2 linked regions of the Drosophila melanogaster genome follow. The protein of the gene in region 2 interacts with the protein of the main gene of each other region in a pairwise test. Each region holds a gene or a part of one and is shown on either strand. Other genes may lie near its edges.

Evidence for each region.
Region 1: the proteins of heca (region 2) and unk interact in binary tests that used the Drosophila melanogaster proteins (3 or more experiments, as listed by UniProt).

Annotation. Positions count from the first base shown.
Region 1 is NT_033777.3:23,147,521-23,164,982, forward strand, and holds unk (unkempt), read right to left. Parts: upstream 10,343-17,462; 5' UTR 10,324-10,342; coding exon 10,259-10,323; intron 10,191-10,258; coding exon 9,981-10,190; intron 8,974-9,980; coding exon 8,554-8,973; intron 8,492-8,553; coding exon 8,289-8,491; intron 8,030-8,288; coding exon 7,920-8,029; intron 7,721-7,919; coding exon 7,612-7,720; intron 7,451-7,611; coding exon 7,325-7,450; intron 7,255-7,324; coding exon 6,674-7,254; intron 6,618-6,673; coding exon 6,420-6,617; 3' UTR 4,572-6,419; downstream 1-4,571. Other genes in the region: VhaAC39-2 (vacuolar H[+] ATPase AC39 subunit 2), read right to left, coding at 10,600-10,966, 11,034-11,719; CG13829 (uncharacterized protein), read right to left, coding at 13,111-13,635, 13,688-13,798. UniProt on the Drosophila melanogaster protein: Essential for late larval/early pupal development.
Region 2 is NT_033777.3:30,272,385-30,286,917, forward strand, and holds the start of heca (headcase), read left to right. Parts: upstream 1-5,547; 5' UTR 5,548-6,559; coding exon 6,560-7,863; intron 7,864-14,533. UniProt on the Drosophila melanogaster protein: Required for imaginal cell differentiation, may be involved in hormonal responsiveness during metamorphosis. Involved in an inhibitory signaling mechanism to determine the number of cells that will form unicellular sprouts in the trachea.

The sequences.
Region 1 (17,462 bases), 7.1 Mb from region 2:
GTTATGCGCCGCTCGTGGCCAAATGCCGCCCGGCCACAAAAACCGCACGCGGAATGCTGAGACCGCCGGCAGCCAGGGGTTAAAGGGAGGGCCGGAGGGCGGGGACCGGCAAGCAACACTTCGTTAAGTTGGGGCCAACATCAACGTCAACGCCTGTGCCGGTTAAATAGATTTTCGATACTCTATATAAGTGCCATGCACACTTTAGTGGGTTGCTTTGTCTTTACCTACATAATGCTTAAATTGATTATGAAGCTTACTACTATTTTTGTGCTCAGCAGCCTTCGTTTCCATTAGGCCTTTTTAATTACTATAATTAGTATTAGTGTAAGCTCCAAACTACAATTTGGAAGGGTGTCCATCGCTTCGTTGTCCCACTAATAAGCCAGTCTCCTTGCCATTCGATTTCGGGGTCGCCTTGCGCACTCCATCGCTTGGCTTTGATCTGCGGATGTTGCAGGCAGGACGGCAGGCAGTCAGTCAGTCAGTCAGTCCGGGCCCAGAGGTAGTCACACGAGCCCCATTCCGTCTTGTCCGGTCCCTTTTGCCCTCCTTCCAACGCAAACCATTCCGACCAACTGCAGCAAATTGAAAATTGATTTTTGAGCAGAGCTTGGCGCGCCAAGTTCGCTGCCTAAGTCTTTCGTTTCGTTTCGTTCCGACTCTTTTCGATGAGTCAAAGTACACGCCGTGAAATTCCCACATAAATTGCGCGCGTTGTCAAATTAAAAATGCCTAATGAGCTGATCTCGGACCCAGTCGCAATGCAAAAGAGCTGAAAAATGCATTAGAAGCAGCAGGGATCGGATCGGATCGGATCGTAGGTCCTATATATACACCCTTACTCCTCCGGTCGGCGGCGGCGAAATGTATCGTGTTACAAATCACGGCGGGGGAAGCGATGGCAGCGGCAGGAGAACAAGTTTCGAGTGGAAATGCGTGTAGCGTGCAGCGTGCGAAACACTGCAGAACATGGACACGAATCGAGATCGAGGCGAAAGCCTGACGCTGATGCAGATCTCCTCCCCGTGCTGCCCTTGTAAATGTCCATCTAAAAATAGTTGGGGCCATGATGATGGTGGCGCGGGTCGGAGGCATGAATTTGCCAGCATGAAAAATGGCAACACTTTTGCGCTCATAAAACCTATTTATAAGCCAGTCAGCCAGCTACCAGCCAAGTTGGGTCACCACATCTTCACATCCACCGATATGCCCGCCAGTTGGCACTGTAGTGTGCTCCCTCACAATGCTGCTCGGCGCAGGCGCAAGCGCGTGAGATCGCCACGCAAGATCAGAAGGTAGAGAAGGAGATAGGAGGTGGAGGTGGCAGGAATGGTAAGGATGGCAGGCAGCAGGCAGCAGGCAGCAGGAGCCCATGGAGCCACGGTCCAGTCCAGTTTGAGGCCGGGACCACACAAATACAGGCACGCGTTCGCTGACAGAATAAAAATTGTTGCGCTTGTGTTTAACGCGCGAACGCGGCGATATCGCAGCAACAGCAACGGCAGCATCCTACCTTGTTTCAAACTGGCTCCCTGGACCTCGGTGGCTCAGGTTAAAGTGGCAGTGGCAGAGATGAGATGGTGCACTGAAAAAAAACAAAGTTGTAAGGGGAGACCACCCAGAATGAATGGATTAGCTGTGATGCTAACAAAATAATATGTTTATAAATAATAAATAATAAAATGTAAAAGAATTTTAATAATATTTCAAGATATCTTCGCCAATAAAGATACTAATTTTTGAAGAAAAGCTGATCGAATGGGTTGATTGGTTTTTTTTTATCAGTGCAAGGGCAGGGCAGGCAGGCAGCCGGGGCATTGTCGGCTTGCTTAGCTATCACTGAACGATTATCGTGCATTTTAAAATTCTTACGAGTTTTGTGCTGCTGATGCCGATGTTGCGCTGCCTTTTACCTTTTTATATTGCCCTTTTCTCTGCTGCTCTTTGTTGTGGCTGTGTGGCTGGGCCAGATTGAAATCACGCATGGGAACCAAGCGCCTTGGCTTTGTCTTGTCTGCAGACTGCAAATAAAAAAAAAAAAATAAAAAAACAAAAAAAAAAATGGGCAAAAATTGCGGCATTCTCATCAGCAAATTAGGTAAGGAAGGCGGAGATGGGCAAGTTGCTTTAAACACGGTTTTATTAATCTTCATTTTAAATAGTAATTTGTTTTTATCAATTTGTTAATTGCATAGTTTACATAGTAGTAACTCTCCATAGCAAATGCCTATATAGAAACTCCTGCTGTCCGCTCGATTATTGCCAACACTTAGGTTCGTAAATATATATATATATATGTAGAGGTGTGTATATATTTGGATTGAGGCAGATGCTTTTGTTGCTTTTGTGGTCGCCTTGGACAAACATTTGTTCTCGATTTCGAAATACATAACTAAATTGCTACACAATTTGCTTGATAATAATTTGATAATGCTAGCCATAGGTCATACGTAATATGTATATATAAATATTCAAATATTTGTATTCATATCCTCTGTGGGGCATAGCTAGTTCAATAATTGATTTGTTAAGGTTGCATTCACTACAAATGTGGAAGGGTGTTTTTGAATCCGAGTCTATTGTTTGTTTGTATCTTTTGTCATTTCAAACATTACAATACTAATTTTCTTAATTCTGTCTCTCTCTAAATATACTCGTATTTAATTATTCATTCTTGACAATAACTTTAGCAATAACACACAACATTGCCCGGTGAGGCGAGGAAATAAAGCGAGTCGTCTCTACAAAATGGAAATAATGATGCGCAAAATATCATCGTTAAGCAAATATTGTTTTTGGTCTTTAAGTTTTATAACATCAGGGGATGTAATTTAATTTATACAGCAAGTGATAAAATTGATTGCTATGACCGCGTTTCCGCGCCAATAAATCCCCGATAAGAAATTGTATAAGTCAAGAGCTTTATTGCATCTGACCAGTATCGGCGCATCGGTATTAATATCATTCAACTCCATAAAATCGGAGGTAAATAAAGAAAAGATATGTAAGCTTAAACTGAACTGATCAAAACTGAAGTAAGATTTAGCCGAGACATGAACCGCAAATTAGGCATACAATTTTCATAGATATTCTATATATGGATTAATATATTTGTCATATTTCCTATAGCCTAGGCTAGTTGTAAGTTATAACTTATACAGAGCTGATGAATTTGTTCGAATCTAGTTCAGCGGTTATTTCTAGTAAAAGTTTCAAATTCTGCTTATTTCATTTAGGTCTTGACACACATTTGTAGTATTCTAGATAAAAAAAAAAAACAAATTATTTAAATTGATTCCACTTAGTTCGTCGAGTTTTCACTTATTGTGTGTGTCTGTGTGGGCTTGGTTCGCACAAAACTGCATAAATCCATTCATATTCATAATTGTTGTAGACAAGTTTAAAATACTAGACAGTACTTTCGGTTGCAAATTGCTCGGTCTCCGCGATTTCATATTTAAAATTCCTGTTCGGTGTTCAGAGTTGTCATGTTTTGTTTTTTTTTTTACGCTATGCTTGTTAAACCTTCAGTTACAGTTTTCTACAATTTGTTAATTTATTATGAATTAACTAGTTGAAACAATTGGTAGCAAACATTTGTTCTTAGTTCTAGATCTAGAGAAGTAATTGCCTTTGCTTTTGTTACTCGTTTGTATTTCCTCTGGTAAATTTTTAACTGAGAACCCTATAAGCTAGCTAATAATTCAATTTGATAATTTAGACATTTATTTACTTGTTCTTTTTTGTATCCTTAAGATTTTGATGTTGTTCTGGTCTACGTGTTTTTTTGTTTTTTGTTTTTGACAATTTGTTAAGTATGCTACGTGTGTCCATATCTCTTCCACTACCAAAATCCTACTTCTCTTGCCTTTTGTTTTCTAAATGGAGCTGGAGCTGTACAACATATTTTATATTTTTTGTCGTCATTGTTGTTGTTGTACATAAAGTCAAGTTGGTTTACAATTTGATTTGTTATATTGCTGTTTGCTGTCGCTAGCTTGCGTTTATATATATAAATATTATTTTGCGTTTTTTTTTTTGTTCTTTTTTTGTTTTTTATATATTTCTGGATCACATATTCAAGTAGTTTCAAAATCACATAAAAATCACTCTTACAGTAGCGTATACAAAATACATGTGTCATCTATAAATATATATGTATGTAACGTACATATACTTTTCGATCTGGTTTCTGTTTGATTCTTCACAGTTGAGATGGCGTGAAATGGATTTCTTGACATGTTGTAAAATTGCTTTGCATTGGTTTGTTTTGGAATGGGGTTGAAAAAACGCGTAGTTCGATAGACATCCCATGTACATCTCGTGGAGATTCATAAAGTAAATTAGCAAATCTTTCAAACTGTGTCTCCGGTGATGAGAGTCAGTGATATTCTGAGAGAGGTATGCATTCAGTTTTCAGTTTAGTTTGGTAATACACACAATAGATTTGCGACTCAACAGCTCCATTATAAAACCAATTTTCTCATTGTTTGTTCTCGTGATTTTTAGTTTTTTTGTGTACACTTGTATCATAAACTATTAAAGCATTTATAAGTTAACACACAATTGTTTATTGTTATATTTATTAATTATTTGTATTTCTTGCTGATTTGGCTTCTACAAAACATAGTACAAACACACACAGAGATAAGAGCCTTTGCGCTGCCTTTCCTAGTTAGCTTTGTAATAATATAATTCAGTTTTTCATTTGTATATATATATTCATAGTGTTGCTTTTGTTTCAAATAAATGCCTATGTTGATTTCATATTCATATTCAATTCATTCCCAGAACAGTTTCATTTTGATTACATCTTTATCAATTCAACTCAACTAGCTAACAACACGTTTCAGTTTCATTCAACATTGTCCAATTGATTACGTTTGATAATTTTAATTCGCAGAAAAATACAATGGTTTTTGAAGACGGTTTTACATTAACTCTGGTTAACATTTTCATTAAACTCTGTTCATTTCGCTGTATCGAGTTACTTTTATTGTTTATGCTTTCAACATCACACTCATCGAATCTGCGTTCAAATTTCCCATAAATATATATCTGTTCATATTCGTTCTTGTACAATCAGCCAAATGCTGGATTTAATATGACTTAAATACTACGTTTTGACATTGACGATTCATTTTATGCTTTTACTAATTTGGAAGCGTCCAGTTGAGACTATGAAAGTAAAATGAAAATTGAAGTCATCTGCAAAGTAAGTACTTAAAGCACTATTCAAATCACAAAGTAACCTAATAGATTATATACGTAAGTTGATAATTTTGTGACTGGTTAATTGGCATTGGCTTACACGAGCTGCACCAAGGCCTAAACAAAAATCAAAGTGTTTTAATACATTCAACTTGGTTTTCAATAAGACAAAATGAAATGAACTTTCGATAAGGAAAAGCGTTGTCGCCTTTAGTTACTTCTCGTTTCAACGTCTATAATTACTTTTGTGCATTTGAAAAAGGAAAATAAAAGCTGAGTACTGACTAATATTGATTACCCGTCAGTTACATTGATTTTATGACCATTGTCTTGGCTTTTAGTTGTAGTTTGCATTCACAAGTTTGAAACACATACATAAAAAATACAGTTTGAAAATCGGCTTATATAAAATCACTGGTGGTATTTGTTTGTTTGTGGTTGTTTTCTGCTCTTCTATGCGACAATATATTGTTAAATTTGTTGGTTTCTATAAATTTGTTAATAGTCAATTGCTAAAAGTGTCTAGAAAAATTAATATATTATATATTTATATATCTTTCATTCAATTACATCTTGTAATTGTTTAGTTCTCATAATTTCTTATGTAATACTAGTGAAAAGTACAATATGACTGAAAGTGTAGCATATTTAAATACAAATATAGAGATACATATGTGGTTAAAAAAAAAATAAATGAGACATTGCAAATTCGTGCAGTAGATTAGAAAATATGTATGCCTAAACATTGAATATTAAACAAAATTAAAAGAGTTGGTTACATAAATCATAGTACAAAATCAATTTAAAATGTTTTTTCCTGTATTCGATTCGATATGAGAAAAAATAAACAAAAATAAAATTACATACTTATTCGTTTAGAGCAGCTAGCTAATTCAATTAATAGTTTGTGCCTAGTAATTACTAATATTCATGACGATAATTTGCATATTTTGAGTAGATTGAAAACATAAATTATATATTCCCTGCCACATGCACAATTAGTAGGCATGTGTCAAATCCTAACTGTTCAAAAGTTTCAACGTTTTGCTTAAGACTAAAGTTTGCTTTGTGAGTACCACATTGTCATGCTGTTCGCGGTCTTGATCCCCATGATCCATTCATATCCCATCGGAATCCCCTTTCCCATCCCTATCCGATTTTCAGCCAAAGGGCCACTTGTGGTCCTGTTGCTGATAAAACATGTTCTAGGTGTGGGTGGTTATTACCGGCACCTGACAGTAGGGACACTCGGTGACCGATTCAGCGCATGTATTGCAAATAGACAGGTGGTTGCACGGCTCCAGAGTAACCGTGCGATTGTTCTCCTCGCACTTCATGCACTTCTTGGCATTTTCTAAATATAATACTTTGTCGACCTCCTCCAAGTCGGTGCGCAGCTTGGACTAAAATGGTAGCAGGTTAAAACCCATGGAATTGGGAAATTAATTAAGCGACTAACCTGCAATTGCTTCAATTTCTGTATGGACAAGTCCCGAAGCTCTGCTGGCAAATTTAGCTGTATCTGTGCTAGGTCATAGCGCTCCTTCCACTCCTGCGCCTCCTGCTTGGCCTTGTCCCGATGGAGCTCCGCGATCTTTAGCTTGCATGCCATGTCCTCGAAACGTCCGTTCAACTTGTGAATTTGAGCATTCTTCGTGAGCAGCTCATTGGTGATGCGACCCAAGTCGCTGTTGTTTTGCGACTGCAGAGATTGAAGGCTAAACGCATTCTTGGCCGTATTGAGAGTGTTCTCGAACAGACTATTTCCCACCGAGCTGCTGTTGATGTCGTCGCGTATGGTATTCAATTCGGATATCCTTACCGAAGGACTAATCGACAAGCCATCGCCAAAGCCAGGCGATATGATGCGCGACGGAAAGAAGAGACTGCTATCGTTCTGGGTGGCCGAAAGGGAATTGCTGAGTTTGTTTGAGCCGCCATAGTTGAAGGCGTCCACGTTGAAGAGATTGGCATGGTTGGTGGGACTGTAGGTGAGCGAGCTGCTGGGAATGTTGACGGCAAAGCTACCTGAGTTAAAATCTGTGCAAATGGAATGGAGTATTAGCATTAGCAATTAGTTGGCACTCATAGGACGTTGATGACTACTTACCGTTAATTGAGTTACTTAGAGTCGTATTAGGAATGTTAATTGGCGCCGAGGAACGTGTTAATAAGCTAGTATTGGCCAGACTCGCCGACAATGAGTTCTCGCGCGGATCGTCCATTGAGCAAGCTGCTTGCAAAGAGTGAAGACAAAAAATTATTGAATTTCAGTTAGGCTAGGGGTCACGACATTTGCTATCTAAGCGCTGACATTCTTTGTCCACAACCAAAACGAAGAACTGATTTCTAGTGTATAACTTAGACGTACGCATGTCAGGACTCTGGGATACTCACAACGACTGTCCAGGGGTCGTGAGAAACTTAAAAATTTGCTGAAATTTGTTGTGTTTTCCAAAGCGTCTACCAACATTTTATTGGTGCTATTACCATCAATGTTCAACAACTAAGAGAACAAAACGAAAAGAAAAAAATCGAGGAGAGCAGGACACATGATTAAATGGCTTATCGAAAGTGTTAAGCAGTTAGTTGATGATGGTTAGCTGGATTAGAGCGGCAAACGATGTGTGGTAGTACGTTTAGGTTTAGGCGATGCAAATCGATGGCGTTATTTGGATGAGTGTTATTGCTTCGGTAATACGTACATTATCGACCCTTTGAAACGCATCCTGAGCTTTTAAATCAGGATAGGCATTGGAAATAAGCTCGTTTAGGTATACCGTGTGATCCCGCGTCTTCTCGTCAATTGAACATGCTTTATTTGGATTGGGAGTAGTTACATGGACAAGCAACACCGAGCGGCAAAGCAAACATTGATTGATGTACGTGTTTTCAAAGGATTTGAGTGATAGTTGGAAACAGATTTGCGGTTTGATGGATGAGGCGAGTAAAAGACAAACATTAAGTTAGAACTGTAATATCATAACTTGGCCCTAAACACATCCCTACAACAACTGGTTGTGGAGCACAACGCTGAGTCCTATATATTAGCTCATCGAATCCTCTATACTTACGTTCCACATGGGCAAAGGCGCAGAAGACGCTGCGCGGACAGTATCCGGCCTGCTGGACATCGTTGCACTTGGTCGACTTGTAGATCTCCGGGTGGAACTGCTGCTCGGTGCGTGTGTGGCAGTACTGGCAGTTATCGCCGGCCTCGCAGTTGCCCGGTTCTCCCCATTCCTCGCCGTGCTTGACATTGGGGCAAGGAGTGGACCTAAAACAATGGTATATCGCGGTTTAAAACTGACTTTAGGATGAATTCAGGGGAAATCTTACCTGTACTTGTATTTTCTGGGCGAGCGACGTTTGTCCTTGCTATTGTGGTACTGTGGACAAGCGTATCCTTGGCGGCACAGGCGCGGTGGGCGCTTGCAGGGCTCTGTCTTGTAATTGGCCAGCACGTAGTTGGTGTCCTGCCACTTGGGATCCTCGTTCATCAAATTGCGCTCCTTGTCCAGGGCATTCAAAGCATTAGTGCTGTCCAGTGTGCTCTCTGCGTTCTGCAGGGTCTCCAGCTCTTTGATGTCATAAACCGGTGGGCGCTGGTCCTGCATGCCGTGGGCGAAGGCGCAGTGTAGTCCATTCTTGACGCAGTATCCTCGGCTGTCGGTGTCGTGGACGCACATGCATGTCTTGTAGTAGCGCAGATGGTATCGCCTTTCGGTGTCGCCAGCAGTGCGGTGTAAGTAGGGGCATCTAAATGGGGAGAAAGGGAGTTTTAGTGACGTCAAAGCAGGCGACGAGGCTAAGTGAATGGACTGTATGATACCCATTAATTAAAAAGAACCGTAACAAAAAACAACAAAGTTGTACATTTACAGCAAAATCATCATTTTAATACATGTTTGAGGGTATTTCTTTAATAAGTAAAAGAAATTTCTCTTTCAAAACTAAAACCGCTTTCTTTCCACCTTCGTACCCTGTAAGGAGACTACAACGATAAATGGATAGAATGGAGGTCGGGGTCAGAGGTTGGACCTCGAGTCTGGGTCATAAAAACAGACATTGTTGTTGTCTCTCGCAAAGCGTAATTGCGTTTTACTTTTAGCCCGTTCTTACACTTCACAGAGCTTTTCTCCAAAGCTCGCCAGCCACAATAACTGTACATTTCGAAGCTGCCGGGGGAAAATCAAAATAAACGAAGAAGAAAACACGCAAAAGCGAAACGCAATAAAAACAATGACGCACACACTTGTAGCGATGCCCTACGTCTGTGCGTGTGTTTGTTTGTGCGTACCTGTGTGTATGCGAGCGTCTGTGCATGTATACATGCGACAAGAGAGCAACAACCACCACAAAACGGATGCTGATAAGAATTTGCTAGCCCACTAGAGCTGGAATCACTTTCACTTTTGCACGGTGGTGACCTCGCCTGCACACACATACACATGCACAGAGATACAGCAAGCAGCACGCCCACATACGCACTTACAATTTCACTTTTGGCTTTCCAGACAACGCCAGGCCCCTGCCACCGCCCCCACCACACCCCCCTGCACACAAACACACTATGGTTTTTGTTTGTAAACACGAAGACAAGAGATACACACACATCGCGAAGGAAGGAGAGCGCAAAGAGGAAACAAAAAAAATACAACGTCGTTCGCTATTGCTGTCTCATCCATCCTCCGCCACTGCAATCGTCCCGTCCAGCGTTTTCACGGGCCATCAGAAACTATGAATTTCACAACATTTCTACTCACTCGTCGCCCTCGGGACAAATCCCAGTGGTCTCGTCGTATTTGGTGCAATAGTTATCCGCACTGTAGTTGAAGGTGCCATCGCGTTTTCGCACTGGACGACGCCGACGCTGGTTTTGAAAATGCCAATTGAAACAGACGAAGGGGCGATGCTGGTTGCACTTGTGCTGTAAAAACGACTGGCACTGCTCCACGCGGAACTCCTTCAGGTAGCTGAAACGGTTGGCGGAAAGGTTGCACGTCAAATTAACCATCGTTTGCATTAGTTAGCATCTATTTACGTGTAGTGATTTGGTTTTTCCTGCTGCGAGGAAAGCAGCAGCTTGTTCGTTTCATTTGCCAACATCGTTGTTAGTGATGTGCAAAAAACATCGGTGCGTCGGGCATCCATGGCCTTAAGTCGATTGATATCGATAATTTTTGTCGGCATCGTCCATATCGATTGGTTAGCAAATACACACACCCCAGTTGATGGGTGGTTAGCCGGGACGCAAACGAAACAAATTTGGCGCCAAAATTAATGCGAAATTGTTATGCATGTGTTTTATTTATAACAACGCCTATATATTATAACACACATTTCAAAGGGAAAACATTTCGAAGAAGGAAAGCAAAAGCGTTTCTAGTCCAAGGGTATGGGAATGAAGGCGTTGATTCTGTCCGTCTGTCGCTGCGCTATGCATTCGCTAATCCAGACGATATTGCGTACCTCCAACTGTTTAAGTTTAATGAACGAGTAGAAGATCCCGAAATGGTACTGCTGCAGGAAGGTCTGCACATTCTTCTTGGCCTCCATCATGAGAAAGCGGTCCTCCAGCGTAATCATGCCGTCCGAGTCGCGCTCCAAATTGTCAAACATTTTGCCATAGCCATCGAACACATTGCAAACATCCCTTATTTTATCCGTATCATTTAAAGTGGACATGGAGGCCAAGGCTATTTTGGGCAGGTAGCCACAGGTGGGGAACATCTTTAGACGCTCCTTCGGTCTGAGTGTTGGAAGGTGGGCATTATGAGTATAATATGAAGAATTTCATAGCAACACAGATATCTTACATGATATCACTGCCAATAGCGTTCACAGCTATTGTAATGGTCCGACGATCCGCCTCGAAGGACAATAGATTGGTCATCACGTTGGCGGTATTGCCGCCCAGTTGGCTGCAATAGGCGTAGAATTTCTCCAAATAAGCACGATACAGATGGGCACGCACAATCTCCACGTCGAGGTAACGCAACGACTCCATGGGCAAATCGCGTGGCACAAACCGAGCGATGGGCGTGTCAATTAGAACGGCGTCGAAGAGCTCCGCAGAATTCGAGGCCACTTCGATGGCGCCCAGTTGATCGAATTCGCCCAGCGGATGACACATTCTTAGCAGACGCTTCATGGATCGGTGATTGTTTAGGCCAGCGACCAGAAGCGCCACATTATCGATCATGAACGGATATCGTATGAACTCCATAAAGGTGGTCAGCGGCTCCGTCGAATGACTGCGTATGTAGTAGTATTGCTGCAGCAGACGATCCCTAAGGCATCTTTCGATCACCTCAACGGACGGCGCTGATTGTTCGCCACCAAAGATGAGACCGTAATCCGTGCCCTGGATGCTGATCATTACGTCCTCGAGGGATTCACACTGGGTCAGATTTAGATAGTCCGAGTGCTTTAGCATGCCGTTCTTGAATCCGCGCGTTAGGGCCTCCAGGTAGCCATACTCCGTGTTGAATATCATCGACATTTTGACTTATTATTATTTTCGAGCTATCTATTAGTAGGAATTCACACGCCAGGCAACTTTTAAGTGAAAGCAGAAATTGATAGATGGAACATGCGGTGATAGGTATTTCTCGGATGAACTGATTCTGATATAAATACTAAGGATTCTAGATGCTAAAATAATATTTATTAAGCTACAAATATATTTATATATAATATTTAAATATTCGGTGGCGGTATCTACCGATGCACGCTAGATGGCGCTACCGATGGTGCAAGGCTGCCATTCGTTTATCCTTTTTGACAATATGGCAGCGCTCTAACGGTTTTTTAAATTTTAACTTTAAATTTGAAAAGATATTATTTGTTTGGTTTGTTCGTTTTAAAGTGCATCCAACTAGATTATTTTAGTTATAAGAAAATGCACCTAGTTAAAGCTTGCTATTTGAATTTCAGATAGCTATTTATCGGCCCATTCTAACGCAATTTCCGCACATGCGCCTGGAGGATGCTGTACGGAAATTACCTGTTGCTCTGGGCCATTTGTTTACTTGCTGCCAACTCTGTTTGTTTACTCAGTCAACTAGCTGCGCTCGGGCCAATAGCATACTAACTGCAAGTTGTTACACGTTCATTCAACTAGAACAAATAAACATGTGAATTTCTCGCCCGGCCTTTGTTTTTGATATTTCTTTGCCTTGTTAGTGTCGCCGCGTGTGCATCGCATAAATGTGGCAATAAAACGACATTTATTATTGCTACCGAAGCATTTAATTGCCCATCACAAGAGGGTGTCACCTTCTCACGTTGCATTAACATCAAAATGAACTAATTCCTACTGGCAGATGAAAAATGGAACTGTCACCAAAGAAATTCTGCCTTCTGGAGTTGTGAATGTGCTCAAAAAAAAAAAAAAAATGGTAAGTATTGTACTTAAATCACGAGTTTCACCTGTTGCCTTTCCATGTCGTCAAAGACTTTAAAGATATTTAGACAAAGTCATGGCAGCTGACAAAAATCGGTCGATATGGGCAATAAATAAGATCACGTTGTGCAGTTTAAAGTTGGCATTGGCCATGTCACTACCGTAAACTTTCCATGCGGAAAAAACTTAGGCTGCATTCGTTCTTTGTCCCACAAACACAAATCCCTGGACATGTGGCCGTCAAGAAGTCCCAATCGCGGGATGGACAAGTGACGGCTGAAATGCGCTTCCAACTCATATTGCTTTCAACCAAAACAGAAATCATCGCGTGGGTAGCATTTTTTCGCATTGGCGAATACGAATACAATTTTCACGAAAAATATGTCAGCCACATGATGAAAGCAGGAAGTGTTCAAGATATATACAGAAGAAAGTATTGTGATGTATTGGCATATCAAAGATAGTCGAAAGGTGGAGATACAATTATTTTACAGAGATATTTTGGCGCTTTTGGCCGTCACACTCTTTGCATAGATGGCTCGGTAGATGTAAAAGCCAACTGCTGCATGAACTGCAACTACGGTGCAAATGGTCGAAATAATATCGGCATTGATATGGGCATAGCTCTTGAGCACCACAAATTTCAGGGCAAAAAAGGTGGCTATGGGAAAGCCAATTATTAGGGAACAGTAGGACATCAGCAGCAGGACAATGAACACGGATCCATGAATTTGGGTGTTTGGTGGCATCAGAACTTCCCACTCCAGCTTCTCCATGCTCGAAATCTCTTGAAGGAAGATCAGGCGCAGGATATAGCCCGTGACCAGGACATGCATCACAATTACCGTGGCTACGCCGGATCCAATGCCCACATTGTCATCGCTGTTTCCGTAGAGCGGCTCCATAATCAAGAACTTGAAGATGACGAAGATCACCACGGGAAACAGAAGGAAGACGGTCAGAAAGAGCAGCAGTCGCTGCATTCGTTCGACGAGATATTCGGCTCGCCTTTTCTGGAAGGGAATTTAGCGGACTTGGATACCGAAAGGATTTTGATTAGCTTACCTTGACATTGGAAACAAGTTCAGCATTGTTCAGATCCGCTGTGGAGCAGGGAGCGAGGGAATGGCTAACCACCTTTCCACTGGGATAAATCTTGCGCAGCTTGGCAATCATTTTGTCTATATTATATTTAACTTAGGATATGCAACTCAATGCCTACTTAAATTATTGTCTACGATTCTCAGATAGTCGTCTAATAATAGCACACATATTTTAGTTCAATAAACTTAAATCATTTTATTAGCAAATAAATATGATGCCCATAAAACTTGGCATACAAAAACAAGCCCAAGTCATTTTGGGCAATTAAGAGATCAGCAAACATAAAATTTTTTGCTGAACATAAAGATTGCCACCATGCGAGGCAGAAATATCTGGTCGCATGACTGGGGCGACATGACTATATAGTAATTAAACTTAACCTAATCACACCAGTAGCCAGTAGCCAGAAAAAGAACTTCGTCAGATTAGATATGTGTAATTAGCCAGACGGTGGAATTCGGGTAGAGCTATCTTGACCGATAAAGCCCTCCAATCAACGTCGTGATTTTTATAGCAACACTTGACTTAAAAACCGCGCCCTCGATTTATAGCAAAAGATTATTTGTGGGTCAGCTGACTGCAAGGGGATCGGTTTTTTCCCTAGCGAAATTAATTTGCCAGCAATTCATAAATTTAGAATACTACAAATCAATCGTTGGAATTTTCATTGACATTCACGATTCGGTTGTCAATTTTTCACAATTATATTGCGCATTTCGTTGGGTGTATTTTTTAGAGAAATTAGCAAATTTGAAGGCCAAAATTATTGTGAAAGATTAACATTCCATTTATTTCTCAGTTATTCACAAGAAAAGCATTTGGGGCTCATAAAGATTTAACAAACATAGATTACCATAAATCTTTGACGTTACATTCGCTTTAAATTAATAATCTTATCTAACTTTGAACGCACGTTACTCATACGCAACGTTGGCCCATTGATTTGAATGCAGAGCAGACTTCCTGGCTAAAAATAAAGCAATAGAATGGGAATTTTATGAATACGCTTATCCAATATTTTTCAACTGTTATGTCTGTGAATCATGCAAATTTTAGACCAGCCTCTGTTATCACTCAAAAGCAGCTGCTCTATAAATAATTTCGAGCGATAAAGAGACGGCATATTTGTGTTTTGGTTATTCGATCAGTTTGGCCTTTGATGCCGTTGCCAAGGGCTAACGCGGCATCCGAAAATAGCCAGCTTTGGTTCTTGTTCTAGCCAATCTTTATGGTCTGCCAGAGAACTGGCCCCCATCCAAATGGCCAACAGCTGTGTGAACAGCGGGAATGGCGTGAAAATAATGCAAATAATGAATATAATGAGAATTATGCCAAGTTCGGTATGAGAATCGGGTCAATATACCACAACCACTTCGACAGGTTGACAAATGGGTCTCGGATAGCTCATTAGTGTGGGTATGCTGGTCATGCAAATTGCACGACAACTAATGGCGAAACTATTTGCAATTCAACTCCCGCGGGGCATTCCACTCGCCCAATCCCAATCCCAATTCCAATCCTTCCGGTTCCATTTCGAAGAGTGTCCTTCAACCAACCGAACCAAAGCTGCTGTACTTATGTATGCATGCATATCATCGGCTTGCAGCTTGCTTCTTGTACGCACATGTGTGTACGGCAATTATGGTAATTGCCTTGTCTGGGCATCCGCTTCCCGTTGGCGTCCGTTTGTTTGCCTGGCCATCCAACCCCAACCAGACCAGTGGAGAGCACCGGATCGGCCAATTCAACCCATCCCGTCCTGCCTGACCTTGACTGCAGTTTCCCCTATTCGCTGGTTGTTCGAGGAGCAATCGGACTCGCTTTAACCTTGACAAACACGTTTTCCGTCACTTGAGAGTTGACCAAGTTTTATTGGTTGCCTTTGAGTGCAGCTGGTGAAAGTTTGCCCCCTTTATGCGTTTCCAGGATACAGCTAGAGAATTCTATACTTTTGTGACCTTCGATTCTCAATTATAAGTCGCTGGCCACGGGGCACTTTTATTGAAAGTGCCTCGGCAAAATCTTTTAAATGCTGCTCGTACTGTTTATATTGTAATTCAGTTGTTGGTGCTGCCATTAGCCATTATCCGATTTGCATACAAGGGAATTGTTCGAATGGGCGATGCAAAGGATGTTGAGCGATTTAAGTGGATTTAAATTCACATCCATCAGCCAGGAGTGGCGGTCAAAGACACGAGGTGGGTTTAACGCACTGTCTGTCTCTCTCGAATCACGGTTATCCTTCGGTGTATCCTTCGAATGTTGCGGCAGGTCGGTTACATCAGCTTCGAGCAATCAACGCAGATTTATTTCCACTCACTGAGAGCACTCAACTTTGAACCGAATGCGAATCTGAAACTATTTGCTGACCTCTGCTCCTGACCCTGGAAAATCTTGCGATTTTCCCTAGAAAATGCCGGTCAACAGACGAGCTCGAAATAACTTTGGTGACATGTGATGGATTATTGCCTGTCCCCACTTTGATTGCCATTGTTCTCCGTCCGGGGTCAAAGTGGGGTAAAACAACAGGATAGCTATCCTAATGAGTGTGTGTTAATGAGCTGCAGAAGACAATAGATGGCAGAAATTTCTGCCGGGTTCAACTTCCTACGAGGGATGCCTGAGCACATCAAGTAAATACGGTCATAAATAAGAGAAACTAACTTAATTAAAGATACCAACGAATAACGAATGGCTAGCCATTAAGCTAGCAAAGCTGTTATATTATCTTCACTTTGTGAATATGGTAGTCACTTTCATTTTTCTATTTATTTCTAAATTATTTAAATATATGTTTTGATTAGGTTTTCATGGTAGATACGTGCTCCTTGTATAATGATCTAATATTGCCTTTTCCTGGCTAATAGAACCCCATTTTAGATAAACCACTTCAAAACTGTCGCAGTCTAATGTCTAGACCTGACCAAACACATCCAGCTTAACCCAAGTCACAGATGGACCCCACCCCACCTAGTAGCTATAGTGTAGCTACATATATGGAACCCCTTTTCGAGCAGATAAGTCAATGTCAACTGTCGTAAATTTGTGGCCGCACTGGTTGCTAATATTTGCGCACGAATCTGTCAGCGAAAGTAGCGCTGAGTCAACAGGAGTCATGCGCCGGCCAAGATCCAGATTCGAAAACAGATACAGATACAGGTGAAGGTGCAGATACAGATACTGTAGCTCCAGATAGAGCTACCAGATACTGATAGGATTGTGACAGCGAATAAACCCCACTACGGTCGCGAGACAGAATTTATGGATAGCTTTGTTGACCAGCGTGACAGGGAAGCCATCAGAAGTTTTGCCATAAGCTAAAACATCAGCGATGTCATAATCGTTTAAACATTTCCTGAGTTTATCCTACAATTTCAGTTGATTATATTCATTCGTGAATGGAACTCTGAACGAACTGGGCGCCTTGTGCCACTAACATTTCAAAGTCAGCTATAGTAGATTTTCACATCATAAAAGTGCATTAAGATCTTAATGCCCCCACCACTTGATGGCTAATTAACATTAAAGTGACCGCTAAGTCACAAGGGGAAATTGCACACTCCAGATAAGTTTCGGATTAGGTGACTTGGGATTTGGCCGGTCTGGCGCCCATTGGCAGCTAATTAGGCACAGTTTGTCGACATATAGGGACTGGCCATTAACGTCACACAATATCAGCTACTATCAGCTGATATCAGTCGAAAGGACTTGAGATTCGAAGAATCAAGGGTAATAA
Region 2 (14,533 bases):
TAAGAGTGAAGAGGTGGACTTTTGCGGGACAGGATTATGGGTCGAAAACAGGAAAGCAGGCAAAACAAAAACCGGAAGAACAGGAAAAAGTGGGCGAAATGTCAAAAAGTGGGCAGCACAGATGAGAATAGCGAAAATTCAAAGGGGGGAGGGGCGAATATGAGGCCTGTTCTACTCTTCTGCCCACTCAAGTCTAACTCCGCCGCTTCTTCTGTTTCAAACATCGGAATACACTAAAAATATGCCATAACAATCGTACTTTTCATCATTAAATTCAAACCATCAAAAGGGAATAGGATACAAATTAAAGAATTTTAGTGATGAGTGGAATTTAATCTTCAATAAATCGAAGTCTTCTTCTATAAATACCACCAAATCTCAATAATAATCCTGTTGCTTTCAGTGTAGGAGTTGCAGAAGAAGAAGAGCGAGGGAAGCAATTCGAGAATCTGCTTTCAAGGTCTGTTCTGCAGTGGCAGAATCGCGAGAGAGAGAGGATTGCAGAAGAGAGTGCATAGAAGTTGAATAGCTCGTGGGGAGAGGGACGTGGCGCGGGGTGGGGCACACAAGCACCTTGCACTTGAAAACCGAAGTGCGGGCAGCGCTGCTGCCGTCGACGCCGTCGATGCATTTGTTGTTGTTCTAATGCGCGCGCAACTCTCGCTTCTCTCTCTCTCTTACGCTCCTTCTCATCCACGCTCCTTCGCGGTTGCGGTTGTTGCAACTCCAACTCGAACTGCGGCAGCGACGGCGACTGCGACTACGGCAGCGACTGCGTTTCATTTTCGGCATGTTGCAAATTTCGTTTTCATGCAGCAAATTTCAATTTCATGTTATAAAATCGCTCGATTTGCACTGGTATTAGTGGATCAGCGCGTGTGTGTGTGTGTGTGTGTATTTTTAGCTCTCTGTCAATTTGCCACTTCCTTTTCTTTTTTTTCGCTGCCGGGGTCTGCTTCTTCGCCTCTTCTTCCGCTCTCTTCGCAAATTGATGTTGAAGGTCAGCGTGTTAGCGAAAATTGCATTATATTTGCATGTGTTTCTGTGTTTGGCTTATCAAACTTGGTCACATCGCAATTTCAGGGAGTTTTCGGTCAGTCTGGCAAACAAAAAGTTTGCCAAACTCAAATAAGAAAAACGAGTGGCATGAGATCATCGGTATACAAACGCTCAAACGTGCACAGACATGTGCAAGCCATACAAAATATAATTTTCTAAGGATAAAAACCAAAAGTAAAGCCAAAAAATTACTTTATTTTCAAAGAAACATTGTTAAATTTCAACTTTTTCTTTAAACCGCACTAAGAACTTTGTTTATAATGTGTTTTTAATTTAAAGAGCTGTTTTACAAATAATCGTTAATCTAGATATTTTTAAACTTATTTTTTCCTTAAATTCCTTTCATAATCATGAGAAATGGCGAATTCAAATAGTTTAGGCACTGCGGACGCCATTTGTTAAATTTTTTCATTTTCCTTTTTAGCACTTACTTTTCCGACTTCATTTTCCAGTTTACCTGTTCGTTTTTACCTGGTGAAAACATTTGTTTGGTCTAGAGTGGGCGGAGTCTCTCATTCTACTGACGAATTCAGAGCTGAAATTTATGGAATCTTCTTTGCGGAGCACCCTGTATGTTTATTACCCATACATGTCTGTAGTTGTGTGTACCAGCATAAAAAATAACCCCGAAAATGCTGAACCGAAAAGTGCGTGCGCCTCTTCATCCGCCTCTACTCCTTCCTCTTTTCTGGCTCTTCTCTTTTTACCACCCCCTACCGTTATCCTTGTGGTTGCTGCCACAAAGGACAAATGAAATTTCAGCTCGAATATGCCGTCTCGCTCACTTTCACTTGGCGTCACGGAGAAAGATTCACAAAAGGAGGATTCAGGATAAAGTACAAAGTGGGAGGGAACGTAGAAACCCCCTACTCCCCGAAAATGAACTCGAAAACAAATGGAACTGCCCTTAGGAATGGCACCAAACAAATAAAACATATTTGGTATATATCATTTGACTAAAAGCATTTTTGATATTTATTATATTTGATATGTATATGCCATATATACTCCTTGAAGTGCTTTCATACATTCATGATCATTCCTATAAAGCTAAATTTGATAGTTTAGGACTAACCTTCACTCATTATGTTAAAAATTGATTTAATGAGTATAGAAACGGAACTAATACCTTAAATTAGGCTTCTAAGTATGTATTTGTTACTTTCTTTACCCATAAACTTTATTTCATAGATATCAAGAAAACTCTTGAAATATTTTCCAACTACATACTTTGTATGTAGTTTCCTTGGTTGACATAATGGTTTCAATCCGATTGGAGTGTAGCACATCCGTTCGTTAAGTGGGAATATGTATGTCTATAGGGCGAATGCTGACTTCATTTCGCTTATGTAAGCAGAGCTGCGTGAATCAGACCCACATTGAAGCCCCCAGCCGCCCAAAAGAGGCGCAAAAAGGGACGCAGCCGGAGTTCTGGACCCTTCTGCTGCTTGCCTAACGAATCCACCATCATCTGCATCCGTCGACAAGTGGCAACAAAATGGAGTTTGGGTTATTTTTGGCAACGAAACGAAATTACGACACCCTCCGTCGAGTGAAAAACACGACTCTCTCCGCCGTTTTGTCTCTTTTTATGGCTATATATTTGGCATGTATTATGTTTACCGCTATGTACGAAGTTTGAACGGTTTGAGGTTGAGTCGGGTTGCCATGCCAGTTGAATTTCAAACCCTATTTTGGGTTTCAAAGTTGCTTCCGATTGGATAAACGCGGTAGTATGAGTAATTACAAATAATGCTGCTCTGCCAGAGGAGCGGAGTGATGAAGGAGGGTTTGGATGGATGGAGGAGTACGGGTGGGTGTCGAACACATCTGCCCAAAACACCCTCGGGACTTTTGAAGCGAAGGAACGGCGAAAAACACAAGGAAAGGCCTGCACAAATGGATGGCTATGGCTAAAACGTGGGAGGGAGGAGGTAGGGAATTCGCGTTGGGTTTGCCTATCCATCCGAACGAGTATCTTGCAGATACTCTTACGCCACCGCGAAGTTCCTCCTTCGAAGAAACCGCTTTCACACCCTGGTTAGAAGCCAAACAGGAAGCGAAGAAACACGCAGAAAGTTGCAAAGAACACACACACAGGCATCACTTTAATATTTGAAGTTATGGGACATAAATAAGCAGAAGTTTACCCATTAAAATGGCTTAGAGATCGGAACTTAGAGGCAGTAGCCTAATATAGAAATAATTATGAAATTTCATTTCATTTCATACATAGGTTCATACCTAATTCCTAATTTAAAAACATAACTTAACGACCTGGCAACTCTTTTTTCGGCCCCCAGGGTTGCAGTCCTGCATTGCCATTAATTATGCAAATTAAACTTGATGCGTGTCGCCGAAGAATTATGAGCTCAGCTTTTGCCCGCGGCTTCAGACTCTCTCCTCTTCTCTTCTCCCTTTTCGCTTTGAACACATGCCATCTTCTTCTTCTTATTATTATTATTTTTTCGTTATGCATTGGTCATTAAAATTAGGTCAGAGTCGAAGAGAACACAAAGCGAAATCCTTGAGAATTATAAAGCGGCGATGACAACAACAACAAACTAGTTCGCCCCTCCTTTGTTCTTTTACCCTCTCCACCGACGATCCTTTAGCTAGAACAACAAACAACCTATACATACATAATTACATACATGCATACCTAAATATACTCGTACGTACGATCCTATTACGCAATGGCTGCCGATCTGCCTACCTGACTGACTTAATTATTATATCAGAACCCTCTGGTTCTCTCCCTCCTGCTCGCTCTTCTTCTACCCGGCAGGTCAAAATCGAGAGAAAAAAATGGAAACTGCGCAGTTTGACTCGAAAATAAGTGGAATTGGACCTTGACTTTGCACCGCAGTTACCAAAAGAATAGAACCCCGGATCCTGAGATCCTGAGTCCTATAAGAAAACCCCATCTGGTTGCGAGATCCCTTCCCTTTACCACTTTTCGTTCTACACGTGCCTGTTTTTTGCCATTTCTACCGCTTCTTCTTATTCGTTTTCGCATACTTTTTTTTTTTGCAACACAGCGGGAATTTTTATATGTGTGTATGTACATATATACACAAAGGCGAGGATACAATAAAAAGGCTCTACGTTTGAAAGCTTATTTGGGTTTTGGTGGCAACTTTAATACCCTACAGTCAAAACACAAATAAGTAGTCATAATACAAAAGTTACCTGCGATATTCGTAATCTTAGGACTAATATCAACAATTTAACTATTACAATTATTCATACATATGTACATACTTGTTTCAATTGAAAGCAGTAATAGGTCTGCGTATTCAAGTTTTAATTGGTTGTTTTAATTCAAGGTAGGGTATCTTCAACTCTTTTTCGTTCAATGTTTTAATTCTCTTCCTTTTTGTCTCTGCCACTTTTATTGCCAGCACTCGCATGCATTCATTGTATTTGTATTTTTGTGCAAATGTGCTTGCGAATATATAGGGGATTATATAGATACGTTTGTATGTAAATATATAACAGCAATCGAAGCGTGCGACAGAGAACGGCAGTTCCGACAGAGGGAGATGGAGACATCGAACGGCATTTCCACTTCCACTGGAATTAAAAGATTAGCCACGGAAAGCAAAAGTGCGCTGCAAGTTCGAGTTCCAGCGACTCGGCAACCCTGTTTTCATGTTGTTTACTTTGCCGGTTTCTGGCACAAACACATATGCACGCTCCATGCATGTGGAACAGAGCCAACGCGCTCGACGTTCGCATGGCAACTGCAGTCGAACATGTTGGAGGGGAAACGACCGGCTTCGAACTTGATTCGAACCAGCTTCGAGCCGCAACGAAAGTGAATTTTGGCGAATCATCGAGAGCTCCTAATTGTAAATGAAATGGATGTAAAATCTAAAAATTCTAATAAATAATTAAATTTAGATTATTTAATAATAATCGAATTCATTTAATTTTGGAACCAAAACATAGGGAGAAATATATATTCCTTTTTGGCTATAAAGTTAGAAACATGTTATTATTATTCTTATTAGTTTAAAGAAAATACGGCTTGATAGAAACATTTTCTATGGAAATGAAGCTTATTAACAAAAGTCTAAACTCCTACATATATTTTTAAGACATTTAATCTAATCAAGTATGTAACTGCTATCAAAAGTTCCGTTGTAAAGTGGGAAAATGTACCAAATTCTGGCCTACAGTGGAAAATTCTAGTGAATTAGACACTTTTTTTGTAGCCCCTTCCGCAATTTTCCCCCACCATTTCTCATTTTAGCGCCAAAAATCTGTTCAGTTTTCCACCGAATGAAAAGCGAGCGGTTGGCGGCGGTGGTGGAAAGTGAAAACCAGCCAACCACCACCCACCAACCCCGAAAAACGGAATGAAGAAGTGCGGAAAATCGGAGTGGAGGAAAACTCCAACTTCGCTGCCAATGCCAAGCAGCGACGCCGGCAGCGATGTTCGACGCGCGATGTTCGAACGCGGCGAGCAAGCACAGACCAAAAACAGTTTGAATTTCGCTTTCGATCTGGTTGGTTGTGTTTTTTGGCTTCTCTCTGCGTGCGCCGCTCGTGGTGGGAAAAAACGGAAAACAGGAGAACTAGCAAAACCGAATAAATCGAAGAGGAACACTCCAGTTTACAATTGTCCTGCGACTAAAAACCAATCGGAAATTTACACTATCCTCTAATCCTTTTTGTTTGCCGGCAAAAAAATAAGAGGCGCAAAGAAATAAACGCAGAAAGCGAAGCAAAATGTGAAAAATTGCCGAACATGGCGCCGCGTGTGTGAATGAGAGCGAACGATCGTGTGAGAGGGAGATAGGGACGAAGCGAAGATAAACAATAAAAAAAAAACAATTTTTGATACTTAAAGTTCTACAACAACAATAAACTCAGCTCAGGTACAACAACAAAACAGAAAATTACGCAAAACACAACAGACTGCATTGACGGGAATTTTTCGAAGTATTTTTGATACACACAGCAAGGAGGTGTACAATTTTTAAAGCAATAAGTGAAAGCAATTACCCATCAAGTTAAAAATAATACCAATCTCGGTAGAAACCCACTCGGAAAATCCAACTGAAAACAATTGAAAAAGGCAACCGAAAAGTTAAAACCTAAACAGACTAAATCGCTAAAATAACAAGCATTTACTATACACAAAAAAATTAAATTCCGTATAAAATCAGACTTTTGTCTGCAAAATTTCTAAAAATTTACAAAAACCCACTAAAATTCACGAAAACTCACTGGATCTGCCAAAACCATCAGTTGAAATATATTCTGGAATCGGTTCAAAAATAAATAAATATATGCCAGCAGCATTTATATAGACCGCAAATCGCACCATAAAATCGCGAAAAAATCAACAAGCAATATTTTGAAATTCATAATCGTTGGCAAAATGCTGATTCGAAATAGAGATTGAGGATTCTCGAGGACAGCCAACCCAGCCAACCAACCAAGTTTTTCGCCGCAACGAGTGCATATTAAGAGGAAAAAACACAAATTTATGGCTCCGCGTCGCAACAGCAACATCAGCAGCAGCGGCAACAGCACCCAGCAGCAGCACCAGCAACAGTTGCAGCAGCAGCACCAGACGCAGCAGCATCAACTGCTGCAGTTCTACGCGGAGAACGTGAATTCTTCAGGCGTCCTAATGGCGCCCATGCAGGGAACCGGTGGCGTTGGCGGCGTTGGCGGCGGGGGCATGGTCCACTGCTGCCTGCCCAGCGGAGACTGTCGCAAACTGGACACCCTGATACACCTGAACGAGCTCTCCCTGGCGGACTGCATCCGTGTGCTGTGCAACAACGAGAACTGCAGCGCAGGCCAGTACATGCATCGCGAGTGCTTCGAGTGGTGGGAGGCGAGCGTGCTGCAGGCACTGAAGGCCAACGGTCGTGCTCGATCCTGGTCGGAGCGGCAGCGTCTGCAGCACCTGTGGACCAAGAAGGGCTACGAGCTGGTCCAGAAGGCCTGCAGCTGCAAGTGCGGCAGGGGACAATTGCGCAAGGACCTCGACTGGGTGCCGCCGAGCAGCCAGGGCGTCATATACCTCAACGGGTCTGGCAACCGGCCCACTCTGGCCAATGGCAGCCTCAGCGAGGACGACGACAAGAAGAAGGCCAAGAAGAAGAGGAACCGCAACAACAACAACAACAACGGCGGCGGCGGTGGTGGTGGTGCTGGTGTCAATGGCAACACCAAAACCCCCTTGAGCAACAACAACGGCAACAGCTACGCCGGACTCACGCCCAATCCCAATGTGGGCGTCATAGGGTCGGGTTTGCCCCACAACAACGGCAACACCGCCAGCAATGGCAGCAGTGGCAACAACGGCTCCTCCGGCGTTCTGCAGACCAGTGCGCTGGCCACTTTCAGCAACATCCTCAATACGAACAATGTCCTCGGCCTGGACCTGCGCGCCAGGGCTGGCAGCCTATCCTCCAGTGGAGCTGGCAGTGGATCCACCTCGCCCTCGGACTCCCAGTCCAGTGGCGAGATATCCGTGTCGCCGGTGCAGCAATTGCTGCCACAGCAGCAGCAGCAACAGCAGCAGTCGCTGCTGATCCAGCCTCTGGGTCCAGCTTTCGGCAGCAACCTTTTGCAAAATGGATTGGGCTTGTCCAAGAATCTGCTGATTGCTCCCCAGCAGCAGCAGCAGCAGCAGCTGCAACAACAACAGCAGCAGCAGAATAACCTGCCTGCTTTGGCCAATATCAGCAACTTCAAGCCATTGGCCAGCTACGAGCAGCAGCAACTTGTGCAGCAGCAGAAGAACAAGGAGGTCGAACTCTATTCCGATCGAGTGCGGTAAGTACAAGATATCATCATGATAACCATATAGATTATAAGGAGCTATAGTCTTATTGTCTAGAATTTCATCTTAAATACTTGGTTAACTTGTTTAACAAAGCGAAATTTGTGTGGCGAAATTCCCCAGCATGTGGTTGGGGTACATAAGCGTTTCAATATTTATTCACAAAACTTTTATCAATTACACTGAACGACAAGGGGGGCCTTAATATTTCGAATTTATTTACTGCAGTTGTTATAAGTTTTGTTTAGCTTTTCCTTTGATAAAACTTCCAGTGGCTTCAGGTGTTATCAACAAACATGCCAAATAGATACCAGATTGATACTCTCGTTCCTTTATCGTGTTGCACAGTGTTATCAACAATTGAGGCGTTTGTTTGCCCGTTTTTCGTTCGTTTGCCGGTTCCATAGATTATATAACCTTGACGACTGAACAGCTGCGAAATACAGACAATATTTGCAGAAATATTAAATAAAATGCGCTGGTTTATTCGAGAAATTTGCGAATATTTTCCCCTTAAGGAAGTCGACGATTTGCATCAACTCAGAGGGAATGAATAAAATATTATAATCTTTTGTTTTGTTGCTTTCGGTGGGTCAAGGCTTTCTTTCTTTTATTCTGCTGTAGTTCTTCACTCTTCATTGGCATTCTTTTTACTCATAAATCATAGGCAATGAAAAATTATTGAAATTTATATGCTGCCATATAGCAGCGGACATTTATCGTATGGTATGTTTCCCAGATGTGTTCTTGTTCTTATTTATTTTGTGCCTACTTTTAATATTTCCGTTTCCCAGAGCAGCGAATACTATTATTTATTTCATTGCGATCAAAAAAAAAAAAAAATGCGAATAGGAGAACAACACGAAGAGGAATTAGATCGCTTTTTGTGTTTTTTTTTTTTTTAATGTTGTTGTTTTGAACGCGATCTTCAGGTTTTAAGAATCCCAACCCCTCACCCTCTGTCCATCTCTTTCGCGCGGCAGCTTGCCCTCTCTTTCCAAGCTGAGAACTTTGTTTTGCCTTCTATGGCATAATTCCATTCATTCTTCTGGATTTCGCTCTCTATCTCACTCTCTGTTTTGCACACTTTTCAAGGCCACACTTTTTTTTTTGCATGTCTCTTTTTTTTAACCTAAAATGCGGAATTGCTGTTTTAGCGATAAACAGTAAAATCTGCTTTTTTATAAAAGCTTTTAAGTAAAAGCTATATTTAGTTCGGCCGATCCTTTTCTATTTAAACTATATTAGGGTATCCAAGTTTCGGTGTTCTCTCAATTTCAAATGCAATTTCTTGCCTCTTGCATTCTTTTTTGGTTCCTGCTTATCAGCATTTTTGTGATGATTTGCGTTTAATTCAAAAATAAACGTCCATAAAATTGTTTATCGCCTCTCGTTTTTTTGTATTTCCATTTCTCATTTCTTGTTTTGTTTGCATTTACTGGCGTTTATTTTTAGCGCCACACGCGGCCCATTTTTATTTTATTTAATTTTTGTTGTTGCTGCCATGATAAACAAACTTTGCTGATTCAAAAAGGTGAGCAAAAAAAAATAAGAAAAGAGGAAAGCCAAAAGTTCTTGCCTTTCCCTTTAAATTTGCCGTCTCTGTTTAATGAATGAATGTGTTCGGCTCGTCCCCTCTCTTTCTTACGCTCTTTTAACTTGTTTTGTCTGCCGGCATATTTGTGTTTTCCTCTTTTTTTTTTGTATTTAGCGTCCAATGTCAAGGTTAAGACACATTTTATGTATTCATTTTCGGTGGGTGAATGAGGCGGAAGTCTGTTTGTTTTTGTGCCTCTTCCAGTTTCCCGTCTTTTTTGCAGAAAGCTCTTCCTGCTTGCCTCTCTCTCTCTCTCTATCTCTCATTCTGTCTTTCGTTAGCTGTCTGCAAATACTTTGCCATTCGTAGGCCCAAAACTCTCACGTGGGCGTAGCATTCCACCCCCCTGATTACTTGGATTTTCATCCAATCTGCAAAAAATGCCGCAATACTTTCCCGAAAGTTCGAAAACGCAACAGCAGCGCGCACAACTGCAAATAAATTGCGAAAGGCACGCCGGGAATAGAATAACTACAACAATTTGTGCAACTACAGACTATAAAAACAAAGTAGCAACAAAGTCGGCGTCCTGCATTTGCATACCAAACGCAACGGGTGTCTAAAGGGTGTGACTAGCTGGCTGGCAATTTGAGATGTAACGGAGTAAATTGAGATACATTTAGTTGCTATTTTTAGATACATACATATGTTACCATATCGCAGATACAATGTGATTCTATCAACTAGGTGAAATCATCATCACTAATTATCATAACATAGGAAGGCAGAGGTTCATATTTCTCAGACTGTATCATCAGAACTTAGGGTATTCCGATAGTCGTGTCACCTTAAACCCTCTCTCTATAGTTTTGTTTTGAAAGCCTCAGACAATATGCGCCAATCCCCCTGTTATAAGTGCGGTGATATGGTGTGAAAAACAAAACTATAGCGAAAATTAACAACTTTCGCACGACTTTTGTTGTTCTGACTAAGGCTGCGAGAGTGAGACAGCTGGATGCCGGAAGATTTGAAGGAGCGAGAAAGAGGTAGCGATATAGCCATATCGGTGCATAGTTTATCTGTGGGCCCCGGGGTTTCTGTATTCCGTAGTAAATATGAGTGAATTATAGTCATGAGGCAGAGCGAAAATTTAATTTTAAATTCTGTGTTTGTTTTTCTCGATAGTTCACCCCCCCCCCCCCTCTCGTTTCCATACTCCCCACAGCTGAGTACTAATTGAGCACGTTCCAAAAACTGTCGTCTAGACTTAAAGCATAAAGTTGTTCTGCACTGTAAAATTTTTATTAACGCGGAACCCCATTACACATCCATATCGATGACGTTTGTTTTTCTGTTGTTTTCTGCTGATTGGTGGGCCCCGCGTATTGGAATAGGTTCTGTCTGATTTCTGAATATACTTTTCTATATAGATATGTAAGTAACATACACTGTGTGAGGTTAGGTTTCACTTTTCGCTCGGCGTTGATAAATAAACAAAAGACGACGTCAGCCGAGCATGAAATGAAATGGTGCGACTTGGATCTCGATGGCTATATGTGGGCACATGGCTATGTGGGCACATGTAGGAGGTTACGGGGTTACAAAAGGCACGGGGAAAAATCACTTGGGGTTTTTGGGGATCGTTTAATGGGAGTAGCTTAGAAAGATTATAATAGCAAAGTATACAACATAAAGTTATGGTTCTAAGATGGAAATAAACATTTTCGTAAAGTGTAGTTAATGTATTATATTTACATAGGGGATCCATAAAAGAACGGCGCGGGGAAGGGGCGGCTCAGCAATTAACGACCTTTTTTTTTTTTTGGCAGTCAAATTGAGGAAACATTAAAAGTCGCGCCACATCAGGCACTTTTTGTTCGGCAAAGCTTTGTTTCGGACACGCTGAGTAGTTCCATCGCAACGGGTGACCACTGTGGCAGACTCCCCCACAGAATTCGTAACCGCAACCAAATCTGCAAAACCATTTGCAAATTAAAGCGCATAACGATGTGTGGGCAGATAGAAGAGAAATGTAGGAGAAATGGCGAAGGGTGTGGGGGTGGGTTTGTATGAAAAAGCCACCTAGGGAAAAGGAGTTGTGCAAAAAAGAGTGGGTGGGGGTAGAGAGAACCGGGGAACTACACACCTTTTGTTGAATATCAAATCAAGTATGCATTGCTTACTCGTTTTCCACTTGGTCCTCCGCCCTCACAACCGCAAAAGCTATTAATGAAATCTTTGCCGAAACGACACGCACACTGAAACTTAAATAAACATATGCGCAACACAGGGTAGCGCCTGCACAGTGGTTGCAAACAGATTGGTCACGATATTCATAAATTGATTATATTTAAAATTGAGTATTATAGCTTGGCTGATGTTGAATCAAAATCAGAAAAGTAAATAAAATTCATATGTTTTTAAATTCCATATATTCCTTAAACATACTAGTAGATGTTTTAATATCCACTGTAACTGGTGCATTGCAGCAGTCCGCACACCCACACCTTCTATGGGCGCCCGTCTATCGAACGGCGCATGACTCTCCGGCGGAAAGTTCCCTCGACGTCATTATTGTCGTATTTTCATTGCCAACAGACAATGCCAGGGCAACTCCATCTCCGCCTCTTCCTTTTCGCTCGTTTTTCCCTGGAACCTCCTGCTGTACTTGCCACCCACATCCGTAGCCACATCCATCTGTATGTGGCGCACATGTGTGTGGCTCCATCCGCAGGCTTTTTGCCAACTTTAAAGGCTTCGTTGGCTCAGCAGTTTCCGTCCCTCTCCGCTGCGTTCGCTCTTTCACTCACTCTGTTATGCAGAACTTAAATCTACACGGGAAAATATCGGTGAACCCAAGTTGAAGAAGAAAATTCTGAAGCAATTCACTTCTTCGAAATATTGAAATGAAGGCTATGAAACTTTAAGTCCGTATGTACTATAACTAGTTAAATGCTAAAATTAGTTTTAGATTTGCGTTGAAGTTTGTTAACATGTGATAATCACTCATGTTACCTTTGCCGTTATCTCAGGAACCAGACTCCTTCGTTCAGTGCACTGCTTGCTGCACTGCTTCCCCATTTCAGCCAGCATGATGTCGTCTGTTTGTTCATAAGCCAAGCTTTGGGCGTGTGTGAGTGTTTATCTGTCTGCCTTTTGAATGTGTGTGTGTGTGTGTGTGCTTTTAGGCTTTTGTGTTGGGCCATTCAGCGAAATGAGAAAGAGAACCCCAACTCCTTCTCCCCCCCCGCACTCCGTCGCACTCCACTCGTTGCCACTGCAGGCTGAAATTGCAATCAATATTGTTGTTGTTGTCGAGCAGCTGCCAGACACAAAAATAAAACGCAACGTGCAAAAAATTGCAAAAAGAAGAGTGGAAACAGTAAAAACGAGCCTGGCGAAATGAAAGAGCAAGGAGGATGAAAGGCATGGTAGGGAGTGGGCGGAGGGGGCGTGGATGAACAAGTTGAAAAGCGAAAAGAAAAACAGAAAACAGAACAGGAACGGAGCACAAAACATGAAATGTTTGTGCAAATGAAACAAAACTGTTGTCCTGCTCCTCCTTCTCCCCTCTCACTCGCGCCTTATCTGTTGGTCTCTTTCGGCCCCAGCTGGAGTTCTGATTGGAACGCTCCTGCTGCAGTTGGGATCCTATCGGAGTACACTGTAGGAAAACAATGGCAATGTTTTTCATTTGGGCAATAAAACATAGTTTATTCCAACTTAATACATATTGTTCTTTGGATATGGAAATACTTTGGAAATACTTTGAATATTTTTGCATTGAACTCAAAGTACTTTTCTCCCAGTGCTGTTATGCATTTGTGTGGGAATGTTTGTTTTGTTTCCTATTTGATATCCATTAAAACGATTCCACATTCGGCGTCTGTCTGCTGCCCCTGACCCTGTCATTGAATAAACTCCCTACTTTCTCCCCTTTCTCTTCAGGTCTCCACTTACCCCTATTATTTTGCCCATTCAATCTGATTGTGAATGCATTCGGGCTTTTGTGGGCGTGGTGGCCCCTGAACTGCATGGGGATTTTGTGTTGCATTTGCAATTTGTGTCGCTTGCAGTTCGTTTTCCTCTGCCATTCCGCCGGTTTGTCTTGTTTATTTGTTTATTAGTTGCAATTTTCATTTGGCAAGCGGCTAGATGGACTAAATGGGTGTCGTGGAAGGGGGGGGGAGTGGGGTGTGGGAGAAATTGAAAATTGACAGTCTGGCAGTTTTTGCAACATTTTAACCCTTGCCATATTTCCCATTTTCCCCATTGCCCATTCAACTTCTGACACCTACTCAATCACAGTCTCCTTGGCTTAGTCAGGGAAAACCCTCAATCACTCTCTTATTTTTTCAACCTCCCCCATTTCTCCCCCCCCCCATTCCCCCCCCCCCCATTTCCCCGCTCGAACAGAAGGAGTCAGACAAGAGCAACAAATGAAGCTTAAATTTTAATCGTCACTCTGACGATAATGTTGATGATTCCCCTGCCCCAACAGCGCTTCGTCTTATTTTTTCACGCTTTTCCCTCCTCCTCTTCTGTTCTTCCTCTTCTGCAGTTTCCTTTTCTTCATCTGTACTCCATGCATCCTGTCAAAGGACAGCGTTTCGACGCCGTTCAAAGTCATTTGGTTTTATGATTATTAGCTTGTTTAGTTCTCTCTCTACCATTTGCAATACCCTGTAGCAGCGGTTCAGGAGGAGGGTATATAAGTCTTCCAAAGTTCTCAACTTAAAGAATTTGGAATTCCTTCTGAAGATGGTTAGTTACAAGTTCTTAGTACTTCGTAGCATATTTTATGGGGCTATAATACATCGCCTGGTCAAAATTCACAACGATTGCAGTTGATTCGCGAGATAATAATGCTTTACAGGATATCTTAAGAGTTGTCATGCAATGTCTTAACTTTTTTCTAGTAGCTCAAGCTGGTATTTTTTTTTTGTGTTTTTTCCTTCGTGGGTGCGTGGCTGAAGGCAAACATATTCTTTATGCTTATATAATATCTATTTAGTTGCACTCAGGCAAGTGCTTACCCCGCCCACTTAGTTTGTCCGTTTGTTGCTTGCTTGTTTGTTTGTTGTCTGTGCCCATTTTCGGTCTCTTTCTTCGGCACTACGACTGTC